3 linked regions of the Schizosaccharomyces pombe genome follow. Changing the gene in region 1 together with any one later gene gives a genetic interaction. Each region holds a gene or a part of one and is shown in the gene's direction. Other genes may lie near its edges.

Region 1 (7,917 bases):
TCCGTTTGCATTTGGAAGAAGAAAATAATTTGAGCGATATCTTGCAGAAAGCTCAAAGTCAAAACCTTGATATTTGGGACTACAATTTCGATCATGTGGATTTACGTTTAAAAGAAGAAAATTTTGATTTTTGGAAGAGTCAATATCGTAGTGACATACTTATAAACAATCTGACAGAGACCTTATTTGAAAGCATTGTTCCAGATACTACGAATTCCCCTTTTTCCACAGAAGCTTTCCTTCAAGCCGTTGAAAATGGTCATTTAAATCACGAAATGTTTACTTCCTTTACGGATATTTTTTTCAAGTCATATCAGAATTTAGAATCGATTAATTCCTGGTTGAGGTTGATGGCGTCCCTTTACAAAGATTTAAGTGAACTAGTTCCAGTTGGAATTACAGCGGAAGGTCGAACGATTTTAGGCCTAAAATTGAACGGTCGACATCCTTCCGACAACGGGGAAAAGATTCGTAACAAGAAAGTGATTATTATTCAAGGAGGATCTCATGCTCGTGAGTGGATAGGTATTCCATCTGTTTGCTATGCCGCATGGCAATTGTTGGCAAAATATGATTCCGATGGTCATGTCCGAAAGCTTTTGGATAAATTTGAATGGATTTTTATTCCAGTTTTAAACGTTGATGGTTATGAATATACATGGTCAAACGATAGACTGGTAAGTGGTTTGTAATGAAGCATATACTAATTATTTGTCAGTGGTCAAAAAACAGACAGCCTCTTAATAATTCCGAGTGTTTTGGCATAAATCTCGATGCGAATTGGGCATTTGGCTTCAACGGTAATATTGATCCTTGCAGCAACGGTAAGCGAACTATTTTTTTTGATGACTTATTACAACTAACAAACTCAAGAATATGGAGGATTATCACCTTTTCAGGCTAACGAAACTATGGCCTTGTTCAATCTGATAACTGAATCCTTGTCGCAAGAGCAGAAAAAGGTCGTTGGATTTCTTGATGTGCATTCGTATTCACAATCTGGTATGTTTCGACAGTCTATTTTCATTTACTAATTAAGTTAGTTTTGTGGCCTTATGCATATACCTGCGACTTGTTTCCTCCTGATACTGAGAATTTTGAGGAATTAGCAATTGGCTTAGTTAAAGAGTTGCATCGCGTAAATAGTAGATACTACACATATCAACAAGCATGTATACCGTATGATGGATTTCATAAACATTACCTACCTGGAACTGCCATTGACTGGGTTTATTTTGCTGCTGATGTAGCATGGCCTTTCAATATTCGATTACGAGACATGGGTGATTATGTAAGTTGATATCTCTAAAATTTTTTACTAATTAAACAAGGGATATTTATTACCTGCTAAACAGATTGTCCCCACAGCTAAGGAATTTTTTGCGATGATTCTTTACTATGGAGAGTTTATCGCTGAGTATGCATTTTAGTCCAAGAAAGATCAATAATTATTCGCTTATCTGTTGGCAATTTTGCCAAATTTAATTATAGTAATTATTAATTTATGAAAATAAATACCTTCCTTCCAGGTGGTTCAATTGATGCGTTATTTACCTGTCTTAACAATAAATCCAGTTCTATCAATTAACGTTTTTTAGAACGTTATAAGAATTTAAGAGTGAATACTTACTAAAGTAGTGAATCATGATTACTTTGCAAGAGTAAATATTAAGATTTTTTGGTGTAATCGTATTTGCACTCCACCAACATAGTCTCAATAATAACAGTTGTGAATTGCATATTTTTTCAATATGACGACTGCACATGTATGCTCAATTTACATATATATCCTCTATTTTATAATTTAAAACTAACTCATGTTTAGAGACCCCAATTTGATCCAGCTAGGGGGCATTCAGAAATGGCCCCTACTAGGATAACGTCTAGTCGCGCATTACCAGCTCATTTAAAACTAAAATATAGACAAGAATCTCAAGGAACTGAGGAAGAGGTCAGAAAACAGGATTTACGAGAGGCATTGTTACGTGCAGAGGCTGCACATTTTGCAACTCAAGAACATGGTGCCTCTTCTGAAGAAGTAAGCCAGAATTCAAAACTCATAGAAGGTTTCACTTCCCCTTCAACGGACGATAAACCCAATAACGATGTTGAGGTTGATTATCAAGAGCTGTTACGGCAGACTTTGGAGGCGGACGAGGATGCTAGCGATAGCGACGACAGTGTGGATAGTTCAAATAAAAATTCTGAGGTATCAATTAAAAGAAGAAAAACAGAATCAAATTCTCAAGAATCCGTTGACTCATCAAATTCAGAAAGTTCGGACGAAGAGTCCGATTCAGAAGATGAGACACAACAGCTACTTCGAGAGTTGGAAAATATAAAACAAGAAAGAAAACGAGAGCAAATGCTTCAGGAAGAGAAAAACAGAGCACTGGAGCAAGAAAAAAGGGAACGGGAAATAGCTTTTGGAAATGAGCTTTTGAATAAAGCTTCTTCAGGGTCTTTTCAAGTTAAGCGTCGATGGGACGAAGACGTTGTTTTTAGGAATACACATAAAGGGGTTGATGACACACCTCGGCCTGGATTTGTTAATGATATGTTGAGAAGCGAGTTTCACAAGAAGTTCTTGGCAAGATTTGTTGATTAAATCACCTGTGGGTTTGCTGTCTTCTTTTCTTTCCACAAAACAAAATTTCTTCATTCTACTGCTATCATACAAGGCAATTTTTAAGAATGTTACTTATAAATGAGATGATAATGTTTAATTGATAACTTGCTTCTTTTTTTGTTTTAATACTGGCTGTACTGAGTTTAGTAGTTACAATTGTTGGTATATTAAGTTTACAAAATTTATAATTGCAAAGCCTTTATTTGAGTGATGCATATCTTATTTATTCTCTCACCAAATCTGCGTTAACGGAAGGGGTTACTGAAAAGTTTACTATAATTTAATGTAAATATTTTATCATTTTTAAAAAAGACAACTACTATAACTTTTTGTACGAAGGAAACATTTGAGAAATACTATATATATACTTTTGAAGTCGTTTGCTTTTACTTTTGAAATCACTAATTTATTTAACATAATGCAAGGATGGTTGCTCAATACCGAAATATAGTTTTACTACTGTACTGGCTAATCACCACTTGACTTTTACCAAGACATAAAGGCTTTCGTAAACAAAATGGCTTTGCGAGTTCCAAAGGCCTCTGGGCCTCAACTGTTTCGCGAAGGATATCGGATTATGCAGGGCGTAGAGGATGCAGTAATCCGTAATTGTAATGCTATTCGTGAACTTTCAGAAATCGTAAGGACCTATAATTTATTAAGCAAGTTTCATTCATTTACTGATACTTTTAGACCCGTACCTCTTTGGGTCCAAATGGAAAAAATAAAATTGGTATGTTGACTCAAACAGTTATTTCATTTCTTATTCTCTAACACACACATAGTTGTCAATCATCTGCAACAGACGTTTTTGACGAATGATGCTGCGACCATTATACGTGAATTGGAGGTTATTCATCCTGCTGCTAAACTAGTTGTCGATGCTACCCAACAACAGGAGAATGAGGTAAGTTAATTCATTAACTGTACAATTTTTTTTGAGATACACTTGTTTGAACATTAAATAAGCGGATTTTTTTTCTTTGCGGACTTTATTTTAAGCTTCCTTTACCTTTTGATCCACTCATGTGCCTTACAAAAGGGCATTTTAGAAAGCACTTTGATTACCCTTTTATCAACGTTTTCATGTTTTATATAACTCTATCGTATTGACGCTTACTTTGTTTATTTATACTTCAAATATTTGTACATTGATTTGCTCTTAAAACCATTTTCTGTTTACTAACCATTAGCTTGGTGATGCTGCAAATTTTGTGGTTGTATTTACAGGTGAACTTTTAGCCAAGGCTGAAAACATGATTCGCATGGGTCTCACTCCCTTGGAAATTGCTAAAGGATACGAAATGGCTTTATCACACACTATGGAGGTTTTGGAGGAAATTTGTGCTGATAAAATTGAGACTGTTGAAAGTGAGAAGGAGCTTATTAAAGCAATTCGAACTTGTATATCTTCTAAGCAATATGGAAATGAAGATTTCCTTTCGGATTTAGTTGCTAAAGCGATCCTCACAGTTCTTCCCAAAGATCCATCCAAGTTTAACGTTGACAATATCCGTGTGGTTAAAATTATGGGAAGTAGCCTTTATAACTCTCAGGTTGTAAAGGGCATGGTATTTCCTAGAGAGCCAGAGGGCACCGTTACACGTTCAAAAGAAGCTAAAGTTGCTGTTTTTTCATGCCCTTTGGATATTTCTCAAACCGAAACAAAAGGCACAGTATTGTTGCATAATGCTCAAGAAATGCTTGACTTTTCTAAAGGAGAGGAGAACCTTATTGAGTCTCACATTAAAGAAATTTACGATGCTGGTGTTAGGGTAGTTGTCACTAGTGGCAATGTCAATGACTTAGTTTTACATTATTTGAATAGATTTGAAATCCTTGTTATTCGTGTGCCAAGCAAATTTGAATTACGTCGCTTATGTCGGGTGGTTGGCGCTACCCCGTTGGCTCGTATGGGTGTTCCCATGCCTGAAGAGATGGGATCCGTCGATGTTGTTGAGACGATTGAGATTGGTGGTGATCGTGTCACTGTATTCCGTCAAGTTGAGGATATTACACGTACTGCAACAATCGTGCTTCGAGGGGCTACTAAGACATACTTGGATGATTTGGAAAGAGCGATTGATGATGGTGTAAATATCGTAAAAGCTTTGGTCAAAGATAACCGTTTAATCTTTGGTGCTGGAGCTAGTGATATGCAACTCTGTATTCGTCTAATTTCAGTTGGTGAAAAAACTCCTGGTATATATCAACATGCAATCAAACAGTATGGAGAAGCATTTGAGGTTGTTCCTAGGACTATTTCAGAAAACGCTGGATTAGATCCTACTGATGTTATTAGCAAACTTTATGCTGCCCATCATAAGGAAAACGGTGAATCAATTGGAGTTGATGTTGAATGTGAAAATGATGGAACATTAGATGCGAAAGAAGCTGGTATATTTGATGTTTTATTAGCAAAAAAATCAGCAATTAGATTAGCAACTGAAACTGTACTCACTGTTTTAAACGTTGATCAAGTTGTTATGTCTAAACCAGCTGGAGGTCCAAAACCACCTGGCCCCAACCCTCATTGGGATGATGATTAAAATTTAAGTGAGTTTCATTTTTCTACTAGGATTGGATTAAAACGATGAATAGTTTTTGTAAAAATCTGCTACTAATTTTCTATTGAAATTAAAAGCGCGTTATCAAAATAATTAGGTACAGACATAATCCATTGAAGTAAGACATTTATCATTAAAGGTCTCTAAATCGTAACGTTCTCTAATAACGGTAAAGTAAAGTTGCCATGTTTATTAAAATCTTTTAACAATTCAGTCGGTGTGCTGCGCTGGTCTCTATTTTTGAGAAGTTTTTTCACAAATAAGCGGAACCGCCATGAAGGATCGTCGTTATCATTAGTATTTCCAGTAGATCTTTTGAATGGCGATTTGCATAAGTGCCATGTATAATCACATCTTACAAGCCTTTGAACATAACGTTTGATCCTTACATTCTCAGGATCCAAAGTTGGGTAGGAGTCAAAGGGAAGACGACCCTCTAATAGTGCAAATAAAACTATTCCGAGAGACCAAGCGTCCGCGCGAAATCCATCATGTGCAATACCCATATAAACTTCCGGTGGTGCATATTCTTGGCTGCCGCAGCTGGATTGCACTAAATGATTTTTACTGTCAACAAAAATAGAAAGCTCAAAGTCAGAAATCTGAATTAAAGCATTTGGGTAGTTCTTCCAATTATCAATCGTCTTTATAACATTATAAGGTTGGGTAAGCAATATATCTAAAGACAAAGTGTTAGTTTAAAATCATAACTGTAAAAGTTGAAAATCCTTATTCATCGAGCTTACTTTCAAGTTTTAAATCTCTATGAATCAAACATTTGGAATGAAGGTAAGCAACTGTATGTACTAACTCAGAAAAAATTCGCCCAACAAATTCAAGGCTGAAATCCGAATGATGTTTTTTAGTGTAATGATAGAGATCTCCTCCCATACAATAATTCTCTACGAGTATTAATTCGGCGGAGGAAACGTAGTAATTTAATAGCTGCACAACACATGGATGCGACAAAGTTTTGAGGGCCCAAATTTCTTGCCGAAATACTTTTACTCTAGCTTTTTTTTCGTTTTGAGACTTGGATGATAAGTGAGTATGTTTTAGGACGATGGAAGTATCAAACTTCTTATTATTAGATTTGACAAGCAGTACTTCCCTTTGTTCCGTAGAGGTGATTTTAGTATTTATAGACCACAAATATTTCTCATTCTCGTCTGAATATAAAGCATATCCTCTACTTCTGCCTAATTGAAGAGAATACAATGATTTTTTTTGTATATTAGTTAAGCCAAAAATTAAATCGGAAAAAGTCTCTAAATCTCTATTAAATGGAGCATAGTTAGAAATTTCTAGTTTAGTTAAATCGTTCGTCAATGATTCAGATATATCAGTCTCAGACGGAAGAGCTGAAATATTCGGATTTACATGACGAATTTTATTTGAAAGAGGATATAGTTGCAGCGATTTTTCTTCGCAAGAATGTTTTTTTTCAGACATTAAAAGCCCATTCTTCCTAGATAGGGCTCAACTTTCTTCGAAATATACAAAATTCCAAAAACGGCTTCGATAGGATGAAGTCAGGTACTGACGCATATAAAAGGTTAGGATAGGTATTCTAAAAATGCTTATTGACTAAGACTGCCACATTGATTGACAGTTTAAAAAAAAAAAGAAAAATAATGAAAACTAAGCATTACATTTCATGGATTTCAGCTATCACCATATAGACCAGCTGCACTAGAGTCGTCCGAAGAGGGAGAACTATCTTTTCCATAGATATCTGAGTCTTCTGGTAATTCTTTAGATTCCTCTTCATTTTCTTCTTTTCTCTGGCTTTTAAATAATGATGTTTCTTCTTCTTCTTGGGAATAGGGTCCACTGGCAGGAGGAGGAAGAGGAGAGAGATTGTCTTCAGATGGATTTTCGACAATATTGGAAGTATATGGTACGCTGTTAATGCTTGGAGAGTAAGAATCTACTTGAGGAGAATAAGCATCATCACTGTTTGGAGAACTAGACGGAGGTGATGTTGTTTCTACATTATGTTTGCCAGCAGTAGAACTTTTATCTCCAAAACCTGCATCGGTCAAGGTAGAGGTAGCTGTTGTACTTTCCTTATTCTCTAAATTAGAAATTATGGATTCAACAGATTTTAGGCTCTCTTCTTCCTCTGAAAGTAGCTTTTTTTGTTCTTCTATAAGCGATTCCAAGGAAGTAATGAGTGTGGATCGGGATTCGATGCAAGCCTGATAATTACCTTTACATGATTCAGAGGCTTTATTTAGTTGCTTTTTATAATTATCGAGTAGTTCAGAATAATCTGATTGTTTCTCCAAGTATGATTTATACAATGCATCTACCACAGTTTTGGTAGAGTGAGCAGATTTTGCGTATAAACTAGTTTGTGTCATTAAACGAGTGTAAGGTGCCTATGCAATTAGTAAAGTTCTGATATTTTATTTGAATTGCGGCATACCCATTCCGGAGGGCCAACGGGGTAATAGTTAGAATGGCCACTGTTCTCGGCATTATTAAACCTTTCCTGCAAGGATAAAAGTATCTCCTTAGAAAATATGCCGCGTTGACACCAAACGTCAAAAACGTATTTGATTTTTGTTTTAATGGAAGCAGGAACTGACGCGTACGCGTCAGCTACAGAGTTTACGACATACTATGCAAATATTATTAGAATCTAAACCATATAGGAGATGTTCCAAGCTCATAATGATAGTAACTTACTGGAGAAACGGCATCAATATATTCAGA
Region 2 (7,575 bases), on another chromosome or scaffold:
AAGCGTGCCAAGAAGCATAGCACTAAGCAAGAGGGACCCAGTTACGCTCCTTATTATGTGGACTGTCCCTCTGATAACATTGTCGAGAGTCTCTCCAGCAATGAGATTCCTAGCGCCGAGTCTGAATACTTGAGCACTCGTTCTACTATTACCAACACTGCCATGAAGGACTTCCTTCGTAACGCCAACTTGCCTGGTTTGAATGCCGATACTCTTTCTGGCTCTGAAGGTCCTTCTATCGGTATTGCCTTGTCCGGTGGTGGTTTACGTGCCATGATTTTGGGTTCTGGTGCCCTCTCTGCCATGGATGCTCGTCACGACAACCACACTGTTTTGACTGGTCTCCTTCAAGCCTCTGACTATCTCGTTGGTACTGATGGTAGTGCCTGGACTGTTGGTGGCATTGCTCTCAACAATTTCAGTACCATTAACGACTTTAGCAAACTTTGGGCTTTCAACCACCCTTTGATGTATCCCAAGAGTGCTATTGTTTTCAACGCTCATTTCTACAGTTCTATTATGAATGAAGTTGCCGAAAAGGCCAATGCTGGCTTTAACATCAGTCTTTCCGATTACTGGGGACGTGTGATTTCTCGTACCCTTGGTGACACTACTTATGGTTTCCCTAATGTCTCTTTGTCTAGTATTACTTCCCAAGAATGGTACCGCAATGCCAACTTCCCTTACCCCATCATTACCTTTGCTACCCAAAACTATGGTGAGGATATTAGCAATGTTAACACTACTTTCTTTGAAGCTTCCCCCAACGTTTTCGGTACCTTTGACCATGGAATCAACTCCTTTATTCCTACCGAATACTTGGGTACTACCTTAAACAATGGTGCTAGCAGCAATGGTTCTTGCGTTATCAACTATGACAACTTTGGTTTCATGATGGGTGCTTCTTCTACTTACTTCAACAAGATAATGCGTAACTTCAATGACTCTTCTACCAAGAACGGTCGTATCATCCAACAATACTTGAAAGGTAACTTTTCTGAAAACGGTCAACAAATCATCTCCATTCCCAACCCCTTCCAAGGTGTTGAGAGTGCTAATTCTGATGCTGCCAACAACTTGGGTTCCAGCTCTTCCCTTAACTTAGTTGATACCTTCCTTACTGGTGAGAAGATTCCTTTGTGGCCTTTGTTGCAAAAGGGTCGTGATGTCGATGTTATCGTTGCCGTTGACAATGGTGATGACAGTGAATGGCTCTGGCCCAACGGTAACTCTCTTGTCCAAACTTATGAGCGTGTCGTTGCTGCCCAAGCTGCCGGAAACACCAATGTTAAGGGTTTCCCCTACGTTCCTAGCCAACAATCCTTTGTCAGTCTTCACTTCAACGATCGCCCTGTCTTCTTTGGTTGTGATGGTCGTAACACCACTGCTGGTAACCACACTGTTACCCGTGACACTCCTCCTTTGGTTATCTATCTTCCCAACGTTCCTTACAACTACTTCACTAACATTTCCACTGATCGCACCTACTACACTGAAGACATGATTCAACAACTTCTTACCAACGGCCTTATTTCCTCTACCGTTGACAATGACACCTACTTTGGTCAATGTTTTGCCTGTGCCGTTGTTAAGCGTACTTTGGAGCGTAACAACATCACTGCTAGCCCCGAGTGCCAACAATGCTACTATAACTACTGCTGGAGCGGTCTTTATGATGACAGCGCTGCTAATGATGATATTGTCTACAATCCTACTTGCCGTCTTGGTGAAGGCATTTAAGGAAAGGCGCATGCAAACTTTTCTCTCTTCAGTATTTATACGACATATCTGTTGCTCACAAGCAAAAGATAGAGGGCAATGCTTATGCCTGGAAAAAAGTTTTTAAAAAAAATCTATACAATGTCTGCTGTCTTAGCATAAATCAAACCTAGCCATATATGTGAATCAATCCAATTACGCGATATGGGTTTTTGTTAACGGATTATTAAACTGAACGTTCACTCCGCTCTAATTAGGGAGACTATTTTGTTATCTTCCGAAAGTATTTTATTCTAATTTACCCTCTCTTCGGAATGTTTTTTGTTCATTTTCTATTGTGAGCTTTCGTTTGCTGTAATTCAGTTTTGTTGACGGCTCCAAATTGGACGTGTTCTAGTTGTTTATGAGAGTTGCTGTTATATATAGTTGCGAAAATAAGTCATTTTTTTAATTCTTGGTTGTAATAAGAATGTTGTTTGTCTATATAAATAAGTTGACTGTAATTTTTTTGTTTTGTTTGATTCAAAAAATTATTATTTATATGTATATATTTTGTATGATAAAATTTGATTTTTAAAGGTTTGCTATACTTGAACAAGGAATAGTGAACTTTAACATACAGCCTATAATTCATTAATTAGGATGAGGAAGGAGATGTAGAAATGAAAAAATTTAGTTAACGTAAAACAGATTATACGATCATTTACAAATTATATCAACTGTACGCAATTTAATCAATGAAGTAGTGGGGATGTAGATGAGACAGTATAGAATACATCACAACGAGTAATGGGAGAAAAAAATTGTAGTAGTTGCGCGGGTTTTGCTCGGCCTCGGGCTTTACTTTCTAATCCGATGACTGTGAGTTACGTGTTTTGCAAAATTATTTAGCAAGTGTGCATTTTATGCTTTAAGTCTAAACGAAATGGGATCCGAGTTAACTTTAAGTTGAGGCTTTGCTTTTGATATAGGTATGCGCATGCGATTTACAAAAATCTAATCGAACAGAAGTAAGTATGTGTGTATGATAATAACATTTTGATAAATAAAGAAAACTGGCTAAACATATATTATGTAGAATTGAAAGAGCATAATTACAAGAAGAAAGACACTTGAAGATATGTTGTGATGTCATTAGATGTAGCGACTTTACAAACATGAAACTATGAGGAAAAAAAGAGTTACTGAGAGAGATTGATGATATTTTATATACACCATGACTCCAAAGATTGAAGGAAGTTAATAAATAAACATTGTGATTCATATTTTAATCAATTATGTAAAATGCGGCCAGTTGTAATGTAATGCGACTAATTTGATGCCAGTAATGTGTGTTAAATAATAGTCAAGGACAATCTGCAAGTTCCTTAGAAAGGTCCGGTTTCGAAGAGGCACACTTAATATCCGAGGGCGGCGCAGTTGAAATAACCAGCCCGGTTGAACGCTACATTCTCCTATACTTAACCTGCAAATGTTTCCGTCGTTAAGGATTTTAGATATATAGCTTAGCAACATTCATCCCAATGTGAACTTTAAAGCAGTCATAGTTGACCAGAAGATGAGCAACAAATTCAACGTAAAGGCTTGCGTCTCAGCGACTGCTCAAAATATAGATTTACACAACAACTTTACATATTAAGCGATATTTAAAGGACCGACAGTCTCGGTCTCTTTTCGCATAGAACGGAAGGGCATTTACATCATGGGGATGTAAATGGACCTTTTTTGATCTACAAAATGGGAATCTAAAAAATCTGTCAAAGATAGACATATGTGTCTCTGCTTACATATATATACATATATATATAGGCTGAATCACTTTCAACTTGCCTTTTCCCAATATTAAAATTATCGCACAAGTCGCTACTTTAGCTACTACTAACTTTTAGGGTAAGAAAGTGTAAGGGGGGATTTGCTTGGAGACTAGGCATGAGCTTGTATTTAATTGGAATAAAAGAAAAAGAATAGGAATTCATGAATTTGTTGAATGAAATTGCAAAACTGCAAGTCATTTGTATGAAACATAAAGCAGATGAATCCCAGGTTTTCGGTTACGATGCGACGTTTGCCGATGAACAGAAATGGTAAATGGTTTCGCATTTGATTCCGCAATACCGCAAACAGAAAATTTTATAAACCATGGAATTGTCAAGCGTTTCGCCAAATTCAAGAGCAAAATCCAGTGTTTATCTTAACATTGAGACGCTATGCTTTTTAATAAAAATCAATAACTTTGGATACTAACTTGTCATTTATTTAGACACAAATTACAATAATCAGATCCTCATATACCGGAGCAGAAATAACAGCACGGTAAGCAGATACAGTGATACAGTAAGAGCTGCGTTGGAATACGGGTGAATTTCAGCTATAAGGAGTTTTAAAATTTTTACGTAGTAGGGCGCTTTTGGTTTAATTTGTTTCACCATCCGTTTACAAATATTCCGTTGTTGTGTTGTTTTCGTTCACAAGAAAATTGTTTGAGGGTATAGTCAATTTTCTAAACTTTTGTGGGTCTAGAGAGACAGTCGTTGATTCCATCGTTTGTTTTGAGCGCGTTTTTGTAACGGCCTTCTAATCTCTGAGTTCAAGCAAAGCGGTGTGTAGATTTTGGCATAATTTCCCAAATTTATTGACCTAAAGACGGTTTAACTATAAAAAAAAAAGACAATGTTATTTAATTGTTTTGGAATACTCGCTCTGCTCCAGATCCTGCCGGCCTTGGCGTACCCGCCTTGTCGCGAGCAAATGTCGGATCCGTATGAGTTTGGGGAATCTGACTTAATGAGACCGGGCATGCATGACACGCCTCTTTCATTAATGCAAAAACGAGAGGCTTTGGCGATTTCGCTTTCCAAGCGCGACAGTGTTGGATCATACGCGCCTTATAATGTAACTTGTCCTAGTGACTATATGCTACGACCTGCTTCTGACGGAATAAGTTCAGGCGAGCAAAGTTTCATTGATAAACGTATCCCCAAAATCAATACACAAATGAGGTCCTTTATTTCCAACACTGGTTTGGACGTAGATGTAAACTCTGTGATTAATGATTCAGATGGCCCTCGTTTAGGACTTGCATTTTCTGGCGGTGGACTCCGCGCTATGGTCCACGGAGGAGGTGTTTTAAATGCTTTCGATTCTCGAAATGGCAATGGTTCTTCACTTGCTGGAATTCTTCAATCCGCCATGTATATCGCTGGTCTTTCTGGTGGTTCATGGCTGGTCGGTTCCGTAGCTGTTAATAACTTTGCCAATATTACTTATCTACGTGACAACGTTTGGAATTTGGAACATAGTGTCTTTGCTCCTCATGGTGACAATGTTGTCGAAAATCTTGCTTATTATGACGACCTGGATGATGAGATTGATCAAAAGAAAGATGCAGGATTCGATACTTCTTTGACCGATCTTTGGGGACGCGCTTTATCTCGTAAGCTTGTCGATGCTACCCAAGGTGGTCCAAATATCACATTTTCTAGCATTAGAAACCAAACTTGGTTCCAAAATGCCGACTATCCTTATCCCATCATTATATCTGACAGTCGTTTGGAAGAGGAAAAAGCTATCCCTGCCAACACCAGTATATTCGAATTTACTCCATACGAGTTTGGTACTTGGGACAATGGTATTAAAGCTTTTCTCCCTATGGAATACGTCGGTACCCATTTAAAGAATGGTGTTCCACCAGACCATAAGTGCATTCGTAACTATGATAATGCCGGTTTTGTTATGGGTACTTCAGCTACATTGTTCAACACGTTTCTGTTAGAATGGAGTCAGGAAGTAACGTCAAATAGTACTCTCTATGATATTATTCATAAAGTATTTGAAAAACTTTCTGAGGATCAAAATGACATCGCTCCTTACCCCAATCCTTATCAGAATTTCACGACTACAAACACCACCGTCAAAAACCCTTTTGAGCGATTCGATACTATTGATTTAGTAGATGGTGGTGAAGACGATGAGAACATTCCTATTTGGCCTTTGTTACATCCTCAAAGATTTGTTGACGTTATATTTGCTGTTGACGCAACTTATGATGATTCTAATGGTTGGCCTGATGGCTCTTCTATTGTTACTACATATGAAAGGATTATAACTTATAACGCCAATAAAAGTGTTGATGTTCGAGGTTTCCCGTATATCCCTGATGAGGACACAATCATTTCCTTGGGACTGAACACTCATCCAACATTCTTTGGATGTGACGGCAGAAACACTACTGCAGGTAATCATACCGTAGATAACAATACACCTCCTCTTCTTGTTTATTTCCCCAATTATCCTTGGGTTTACTATTCCAATATTTCCACGTTTACCATGTCTATGAATGACACTTTGTCCAGTGGCATTCTTGAAAATGCTGCTCTATCGGCTACTCAAAACAACAGCGATTCATTTGCAGTCTGTTTGGCATGCGCCATGATACAACGTTCCTTGGAGCGCAAAAATATGTCTACTCCTAGTCAATGCTCTTCTTGTTTTGAACAATACTGCTGGAATGGAACAACCGTGAACAACCCTAGTGCCGTTTCAAACTATGCTCCTACTGTGTTATCTGCATCAACCACTTCTGGTACCTCTTCTGTACGAGCCAAACCTATAGTATTTTATTTATTTGCTTCGCTTCTAACAGTTTCGTTACTATTATAGACGACGAAAGCCTCCCCCACTCACACACCTTGGTATGAGTCACTTTTCGACTTGAAAGAATTAAAAAGCATAGACTGAGTCAGGCTTTTATTTATTAATTGTAAGGTATTAATCACTACCAAACTTGTGGGGTTCAAAGGTTTTGTAGTTTTAGTGTTAGTGTTAGTGAATTCATTTTAAGTTTTCGAAGCACAATGTTTCTTTTCTCTAATGAAGATGTTTAGTTTAGTTAATTTAGGAAGATCGCTTTTATTTTTAAATATACAGACAATTAATTTTAATAATGATTGTGCAATTTTATAGATATCAAAGCTGTTTTGAATTATAAACCGTCAAAAAAGTCAGTTCCTAAAGGCTTTTTCCCTTGATTTCCCACCTTTTTCTTTTTCTTAGGACTCGAGAATTCAGAGTCGCTGCTGGAATCTTCATCACTATCTAAATTATCAGAGGAGGATGACTCATCTCCTTCCTTCTGATCAACCGGCCAGAAAGCTAGTTCGGTTCCACTACAGGAAACTAAAAAATTGCCTTCGGTAGTAACATCCACAGCGTCTACGGTTGATCGCGAAGAGTGTTGCCCTATAATTCTTTCGTATTTGTTTGGAAGAATGTGTAACAAACGTATACATCCGTCGCTTCCGCCAACATACAGACTGTCAGAATCAGCACGAGTTATTGTTTCTATTGAAAAATCATGGGACCGAATTGGCGATAAAATGCGATCGGTATGATCCCCCCAATCACCCTTTGTAAATAAAGTTATAACTCCACTGGCAGTACCAACAGCAAATTTCTTTTTTGAATGCTGATCCCGTGTAAAAGCTCCACAGGTCATTTCTTCGTCTTGTTCTTCACTCAATATTGGTTTTTTGAAATTACGAGCATCGATTACTGACAAAACTCCATCACCACTAGTAGCAACGAAGTATCGTTCTTCAAATGGGCTAATAGAAGATATATAGTCAATATGATCATTATGGGTATGGATAATGCCTCCCTCGGTGCGCTTATCCCAAACAGAAACACAACCATTATCATCACCTGTAGCAAAGACCATATCATTCTCAATCCATTGAACCACACTATAAGGAGAAATCTCCTTATTCTTATCCACTATCCATTTTGAACTCACTCTCCCCGTTGAGGTATCGGCGATTTTTAAAACACCATCTGAACCTACAGAAATGAATTCGGTAC
Region 3 (6,835 bases), 1.9 Mb from region 1:
CTTTCCTTGCTGATCCAGTACGTTAAAAATTTTTTGTGTGGTTTATTGCATTGTTCCTGCTGGTACGTAAATAGATTAAGAAAACAATAGGTAAAACCTTTTTTGGGGGTGTCCCGGGGTTACGGCGATTGTTGACATACACAAAACTATACTTTGCTGTCATTTTCACGTAGTCCTCTTCTACGGAACGTTGCACCCTACATTTAACTTTTACTCTATTCTTTTTCTTCTTGTTTAATATTAATATCAGAAAATGTTAAAACGTTTTGCCATAAAGAATGCACGTACTATTTACTAATGTTTTAAGCTTTGCTATGTCTTCTTATCTCATCCGAGCGTGCTCGCTATTTTTTTATTGCTACCAATTTAGCGAGCATGGAGGAAACGTATGTTACTTGTGTTTACTTAGTATTTTAAAGGCGAATAAGGAGGAAGCGTAACGGGCTGGTGAGTGGTCCAATATGCGGGCCTTGGCTTCTAACTCTGCTTATTGGTGAATCTTATGTATTGTAAATCCCGCATTTTTTTAGTCGATCCTTTGTCGATCAAGCTGCACGCGAGCTCACTAAAAATCAAAATAGCAGAATGCACTGCTCTAGCATGTACAGTGTCCCAGTAGATGTAAAAAGAAAGCGTACGTAGTTATGTAATTCCAGATTGCCATAGGCATCTTAGTATAGCTAATATCATCCCTGCTTAGTATGGACTGTTTATATCATTATTTCTACAAATATTACTATGATGGTATTACTTATGATCATTACTGTTGCTGTTGTAATAAACTACTATCATGACTAAATACCATCATTGACTATTATGATGTTTTTCTCTTTTTCCCAACCTCGCTATTCAAACATGAAACATGTATAATCAACTATTGTAAACACTAACTCCAATGCTGTCTCAGCGACTGCCCAGGACTACCTAGTCTAATTGCAGTACAATGGTACCATTTGCAATCCCGACACATGCGATAAATATAGATTATTCACGATTTTCGCACTTTCAACACTTTTATCATCCTCGCTCCGACAATATTGTTTCTCGTATAGCGTCATGTCAGTCGTAAACAGGCCTGAATAATGTCATCTGTTTTTTGTTCTGGCTCTTTGAATGATTCTCGTCGTTAAAGATATGAAAAAAAAAAATTGGCTTAATAAGCTCCTCAACATACACGCCACACCTCTTATTCCTCGCAAGCACTTACTGAATCACTCTTGCTTCTACAAATATGCAGATGTTTTATTGGTGTCAATTTTCAAAAAATACCACTTTACCATACCATACCATACCAGTCGACCTTTAATCACCCTAAAACATTAACCTTTTAGGGATCCCTAGTGAACACAACGTAAAATGCTGCAGGCTAGAATGACTGGCCTTCCCAATTCTGGCTAAGTTAATAAAGGTAAAGAAATAATGTGTGTAAAGGGCAATTGCAGATGAAGGTATACATTGAAATGCTCACACAAGTTGTAATCAATCAGAAAGCAAATAAAAAAGTTGCATGTAAATTTGTCTACGGTAAAGCATTAAATGAAATATGGACAAAACACAATAGTTGGAATTTGACTATTTGCCGTATAAATTCGTGTAGCTGGTTATCTGTGCTACGGCATTGCGAAAAGTACAATATGACTTTTAACATTAAAAATGATACCAAGTATTCGAAAATTACTTGCTGAATAATGATTGTCGAGGATATTTGGCATGTTTTTATATTAGACTAACTATGTATCCGTCACTAAGCAAACTCCAAGTAATTCACTCAAATGAACAGCTATCTTAGCTGATATTTAGATTTTGCCAAGTCTCATTTAATAATTGACTATGTTATATTCTTCATCAATATATTATTTCAATGAGAAAAACGTATCCAATTACTTCAAATTTAGCATTTCTGTAATTTTTTAATTTCATTGAAAAGTATGCTTTAATTGAGTTTTTTTCTGCCCCTCACATTCTACGGACTTAAAATAGGTGTATCTATTCATGCATATTCATTCATTCACCATCGTAATCCACCAAAAGGCAAATTACTCTAATCCTCCAAAATACAGATTCGTTTCGAACAACATACCCATACTCTACTATCTTCTTGTTCTTTCAATTTATTACATATAACGGCTTGTTAAGCTGCATTCCTAGAGTTTCTTTCGCAATATGGGAAAATTTGCTCTTAACTTAAACGCTGAGTTGACTGGTGTGAAAAATTTAGCTCCCAAGGATGAAGAATCCTTCTATTATGCTTTTAAAGTCCAATGTAGTGGTTGTCGAGAGATTCACGACAATGCCATTGAAATCTCCCGCAGCGAGACTCACAGCATACCTGGCAGCAAGGGCGAGGCTAATCTCATATGGACGTGCAAAAATTGTCGCAAAACTTGCTCTTTCGTTATAGAGGGGCCATTCTCTCCTTACAATGATTCTCAAGAGACGAAAAAAGTTCTCGTATTGGAATGCAGAGGATGTGAACTAGTCGAATTCATTCCTCAGGGAGAATGGATAGCTAATGGTGCTGAAAGTAATACACTTTTTGACGAAATAGTATTAGAGGATGATTGGTATGACTATGATGAAAATGCCTCTTCAGAAGTGTCTATTACAAATTTGGAGTGGTCTATTAGTAAAGCTTAGAGTCTAATTTAACTTTTTTTTACTCATGTATTTGTATATATCACTAAAGATATCGTGTACCCGTTTATAAATGTTGTTTAATGTACAAAAAAAAATTAATATAGTAAATTGTATTCATGAAGCAGTACCATCTTTTTCAAGCTGGCTTTTGTAATATTGGATTCTTTCTTCAATGCAGGCCTTCCATATTGGATAATTTTGAAGTCGTTTTTCGTAATCTATTTGAATCATGCTTGCTATCCCACTCCAAGGTTTTATCCGTTGCTTTTGAGATTCATAACCCTCTATACCATTTAAAGGGATTTCTTTATACTGCCAACTTTCTGAGAGGACATGCATCCAATACTGAATTTGCAATGCAGAACTTGTATCCTGTAAAACACTCTGTGCCTTTCTTCTCTCGGTGTGATTTATATGAAGTTCGTCTTTTCCAAAAGCTTTTGCCGATACTAGTAAATAAGCTGCGATTATGATGCCTCTTTTGTGTTCGATGCGCATGTCGTTTGTAACAACGGCTTTCACCAATTGTTTAACATAAGGTATAGCAGTTGAGCCCCCTAGTTTGGTACAAAGATAAGTAATGGTTTCCATCAGATCATCTTTAGCTGCTAAGGATTTAGTTAATGGAGATAAGATTTCTTGAAAGTAAGTGAAAAGTTTATAGTATTTCTTTTTTGGAATTGGAGTCGCTAGTAAATTTATTTCCAAATTTAAATCATTGGATAATCTTTTTAAAGAGTCAGAACAAGTTCAAGTAGAGTAATTAAACATCAGAAGTTACTTACAGTTCACAAGCTAAGTGCGCTGCCATATAAGGACGGCATAACTCTTCTGTCGCCTTTAGATTATGTTTATATTTGGACCATTCCAAAAATGACTCTCCTAAACTAATAAGCCGTTCATTATATTCTGTACTTTCAGTGGGAATTATTCTGCGTAAAGACTCTATAATCTGTTGTCGCTCCATGAGAAAATGAATATATTTAATAAAACTTTTATCATTTAATTTTGATTATTAATTATTGAAATCATGTAATCATTCATAATATCATAATAGTGGTGAACGCTTAGTTTGTTTTATGTCAATATGGTGTTTAATACAGAGACATTTAAACGATGTTTTTAATGCTGCTAATACTACCAGCTGTTTCAAAAATATAAAATCTATCTACTTGATGCACCACTGAATTTGGTGTTTATATTCCGTACTTATTTAATATGACTCTTGCTTAATCATTCCGGTTGCTAGTTATCTTAAATAATGTCACCAAAAGCTTAGAATTTAGACCTACATTCTTCAAGATATTACTACAAAACTTTCGAAGCAGTCTTCAAATTTTTTTTTATTTAATAATGAATTACGATTGCTTTATTGGGAGGTAGTGTTTTAGGCTTGATAATTCGGTATATTACTCTCTTTTAGTAGTTTAATCAAGGCTATATGAGGCATACAGAATAAAATATGCGTGAATAGCGTGAGTTAATATTAACTACTTTCCATGTTGGTTTCATAAATTTTAAGCGAACAAACAAGTTTAGGTGGAACCGTTGAATTATTTGATGACTTTTTAAATTTTTAAAGGAAAAAATGATGAACGATCAACTGAATAGTAATAAATTAATCCTTATTGATTGAAAGGTTGGATAATGAAATCGACTTACAACGTTACTGACAGGGTTAAGCTGACGGACTCGCACTTCTCATACAATCTCGGTACTCACCACTTTAGCAATTGAGGAAGTTGAGAAAAGTACTTAACTTTAGCATTAATCATATAGCTCAATGAAAAATATTAAATATGAAAAAAGAACATCATAGCCCTTGGCCGGACTCTTTGAAAGAATTTATTGGTAGATGCATCCAAGACGCTGAGGAAAACAGCCAGCCAGAATTAGAGGATGAAGTAAAATTGCTAATTTCTCGTCAATACGAAATGGGAAACATATGGAATGTTGATTGGTCTTCTATGAATTTAGAATCCCTAAGGAAACTGACAAATGCTCAAAATACAATCATCGAAGATAAAAAAAGAAAGGTTGAGAAGCCTGTTTCTGGAAATCAATTTTCACTTTTAAGTGAAGAAGATGAAGTGGATAAGAAAGAAAAAAGAAGAAGAAGGTTTGAAAATGGTTCTCGTTCTCAAAATAACGCTAAATCTGAAGAGCTAAAAGTCAACCCGGAGAATGGTGCTATTATAGGACGGTCCACAGAATTAGAGAAAAGGTATTTGCGATTAACTTCGGCTCCTGATCCGGATACTGTTCGACCCCTTCCAGTTCTTAAGCAAACTCTCGAACTTTTAAAGAAGAAATGGAAAGAAGAGAAAAACTATGCATATATATGCGATCAATTTAAAAGTTTAAGACAGGATTTAACTGTGCAAAGGATTCAAAATGAGTTTTCTGTATTAGTTTACGAAATACATGCTCGTATAGCTCTTGAAAAGGTACGGTTAATTACTTTAAAATATCATTTCTTCTTCTAACGTTCGACTAGGGTGATGTTGGCGAGTATAACCAATGTCAAACTCAATTATTTCATCTTTACAGTTTTGGTATACCAGGGAATACTAAGGAATTTTTAGCATATCGTATTCTGTATATGCTCTTCACTAAAAATCGATCTGGTAAGTTAATTACGGCTTACTGCTTAAAAGAATATATCTTTTGAATTCAAATTATTAACAATTTATAGAAATGAATAGCCTTCTCGCCAATCTAAAAGAAGAAGACAAAACAAACGCTGCTGTTACACATGCATTAGAAGTCCGTTCGGCGATGGCTACTGGCGATTACTATAAATTTTTCCATCTATATTTAGTCGCTCCCAACATGGGAGGTTATTTGATGGATCTTTTTATTGAGAGAGAACGAGTGCAGGCGATGATAATGATGTGCAAAGCATATCGCCCTTCTCTTACAATGGAATTTTTGGCTAACACACTAGCATTTGAAGAAATGGAAGATTGTGTAAACTTTTTTAGGAGTTGTAATGCTGTATACGATTCAAAAGATCCCAATCGCATACTGATGAAAGAAAGCACGGATAGATTCGAAAAATGCATGAAAAAGCATGCTGTGGTTGATATTAAAGGCCAAATCTAATAATAAAACTACTTCATTCCGCTTTTCTTTCTTTCCTCATATGTTGAATTAGAGAATTTAATAAAAAATGAGACACGTCCTTTTGGGACATTATGCTTTATAGTTCCAGTCATTGTCTATTCTTAACGTTTTACTAGACAATTAAGTAGAAGTTAATAGTTTTATGATTCCAATTCCTTTTTTTTTATAGATATACATTGTTCGTTTGGCAAAATTCTTGTACTCAGAGTTATTTACTTGAGGTTCGATACTGTATTCAAGCACTAGTCCTGCTTGATTAAGCAAATGTTCAAACGCATCAGGTTGGATTTTGAGGTTCTCAGGTGTTTGATTAAAAACCTAGAAAAGTAAGAGTTAGAAGTATTGATAGTCGTGACTTACAGATATTTTTTTTGCAGCTTTCAAGTACGAGTCCCATCCTTGAGGTTCTAAAATAAGAACACCATTCGTTTCCAATAAAGAACTAATCTTCCCAAAGAATTTAATGATTCCTTCATCGTGGTTATTTAGATGCACCCATTTAGATACGGATAATGCTAGTATTATTTTGAATTTTCGTTTCGATTCCCAGCGCAAGAAGTCAGCGGTCTCAAATTCTATATTGTGAGGGAAATTTTGCTTATTGAGAGGTGGTTGAAGTTGCACTGGTATCCTGGAAAACTTTTTAATGCTTGAAATGGGGTAATAATTAAACTGGTCTTCTACAATGGAACCAGGATTGCGTACAGGGCCAATTCGAGAGCTCACAAACTCAAGATGTTTTCGAGCTTTTTGGATGAGAACATGATCGATATCCAATCCCAAAACAAATGATGCACCAAATATTGAGGCAATTTGAGCAGACACTGTCCCATTATTGCATCCTATATCTAAAACTGAAGCCTCATAAAAAAGGGAATCAGGCAAACATTTAAGTCTTGGATCGATAATTGAGGTTCCTCCCCTCATGCTGTAATAACTGTGATAATTTCCATGTTGAAAATTCGACATCCCAAGTCGAGGAGGTTTTTCAAATCACCCCTATTTTTTATAAAAGTATAAATTTTGCAATGGAATTTAAACGAAAACTTACGAATCGAACTATTTAAACAAA

The links. A genetic interaction does not mean that the proteins touch.
Region 2: mutations in cwf15 (region 1) and plb3 together harm fitness more than expected from each alone (negative genetic interaction), as found in Schizosaccharomyces pombe (one large-scale study listed by BioGRID).
Region 3: mutations in cwf15 (region 1) and iss9 together harm fitness more than expected from each alone (negative genetic interaction), as found in Schizosaccharomyces pombe (one large-scale study listed by BioGRID).

The regions. Positions count from the first base shown.
Region 1 is NC_003423.3:1,035,808-1,043,724, reverse strand, and holds cwf15 (protein Cwf15), read left to right. Parts: upstream 1-1,695; 5' UTR 1,696-1,751; coding exon 1,752-1,766; exon of another isoform or gene 1,767-1,825; coding exon 1,826-2,608; 3' UTR 2,609-2,737; downstream 2,738-7,917. Other genes in the region: ecm14 (carboxypeptidase), read left to right, coding at 1-677, 719-824, 874-1,002, 1,044-1,291, 1,332-1,430; chaperonin-containing T-complex theta subunit Cct8, read left to right, coding at 3,147-3,269, 3,323-3,362, 3,415-3,536, 3,823-5,178; serine/threonine protein kinase Ppk27, read right to left, coding at 5,340-5,875, 5,943-6,648; rhn1 (RNA polymerase II transcription termination factor), read right to left, coding at 6,861-7,580, 7,628-7,822, 7,891-7,917. UniProt on the Schizosaccharomyces pombe protein: Involved in pre-mRNA splicing.
Region 2 is NC_003424.3:1,068,942-1,076,516, reverse strand, and holds plb3 (lysophospholipase Plb3), read left to right. Parts: upstream 1-4,154; 5' UTR 4,155-4,389; coding exon 4,390-6,378; 3' UTR 6,379-6,594; downstream 6,595-7,575. Other genes in the region: plb1 (lysophospholipase 1), read left to right, coding at 1-1,740; SPOM_SPAC1A6.11 (uncharacterized protein), read right to left, coding at 2,663-2,983; wdr55 (WD repeat-containing protein), read right to left, coding at 6,701-7,575.
Region 3 is NC_003423.3:2,964,124-2,970,958, reverse strand, and holds iss9 (nuclear export factor), read left to right. Parts: upstream 1-4,350; 5' UTR 4,351-4,436; coding exon 4,437-5,084; exon of another isoform or gene 5,085-5,134; coding exon 5,135-5,264; intron 5,265-5,332; coding exon 5,333-5,742; 3' UTR 5,743-5,854; downstream 5,855-6,835. Other genes in the region: protein ess1, read left to right, coding at 2,164-2,637; origin recognition complex subunit Orc6, read right to left, coding at 2,752-3,364, 3,423-3,604; bmc1 (Bin3 family regulator), read right to left, coding at 5,884-6,081, 6,124-6,732. UniProt on the Schizosaccharomyces pombe protein: Required for transcription elongation. May also be involved in pre-mRNA splicing.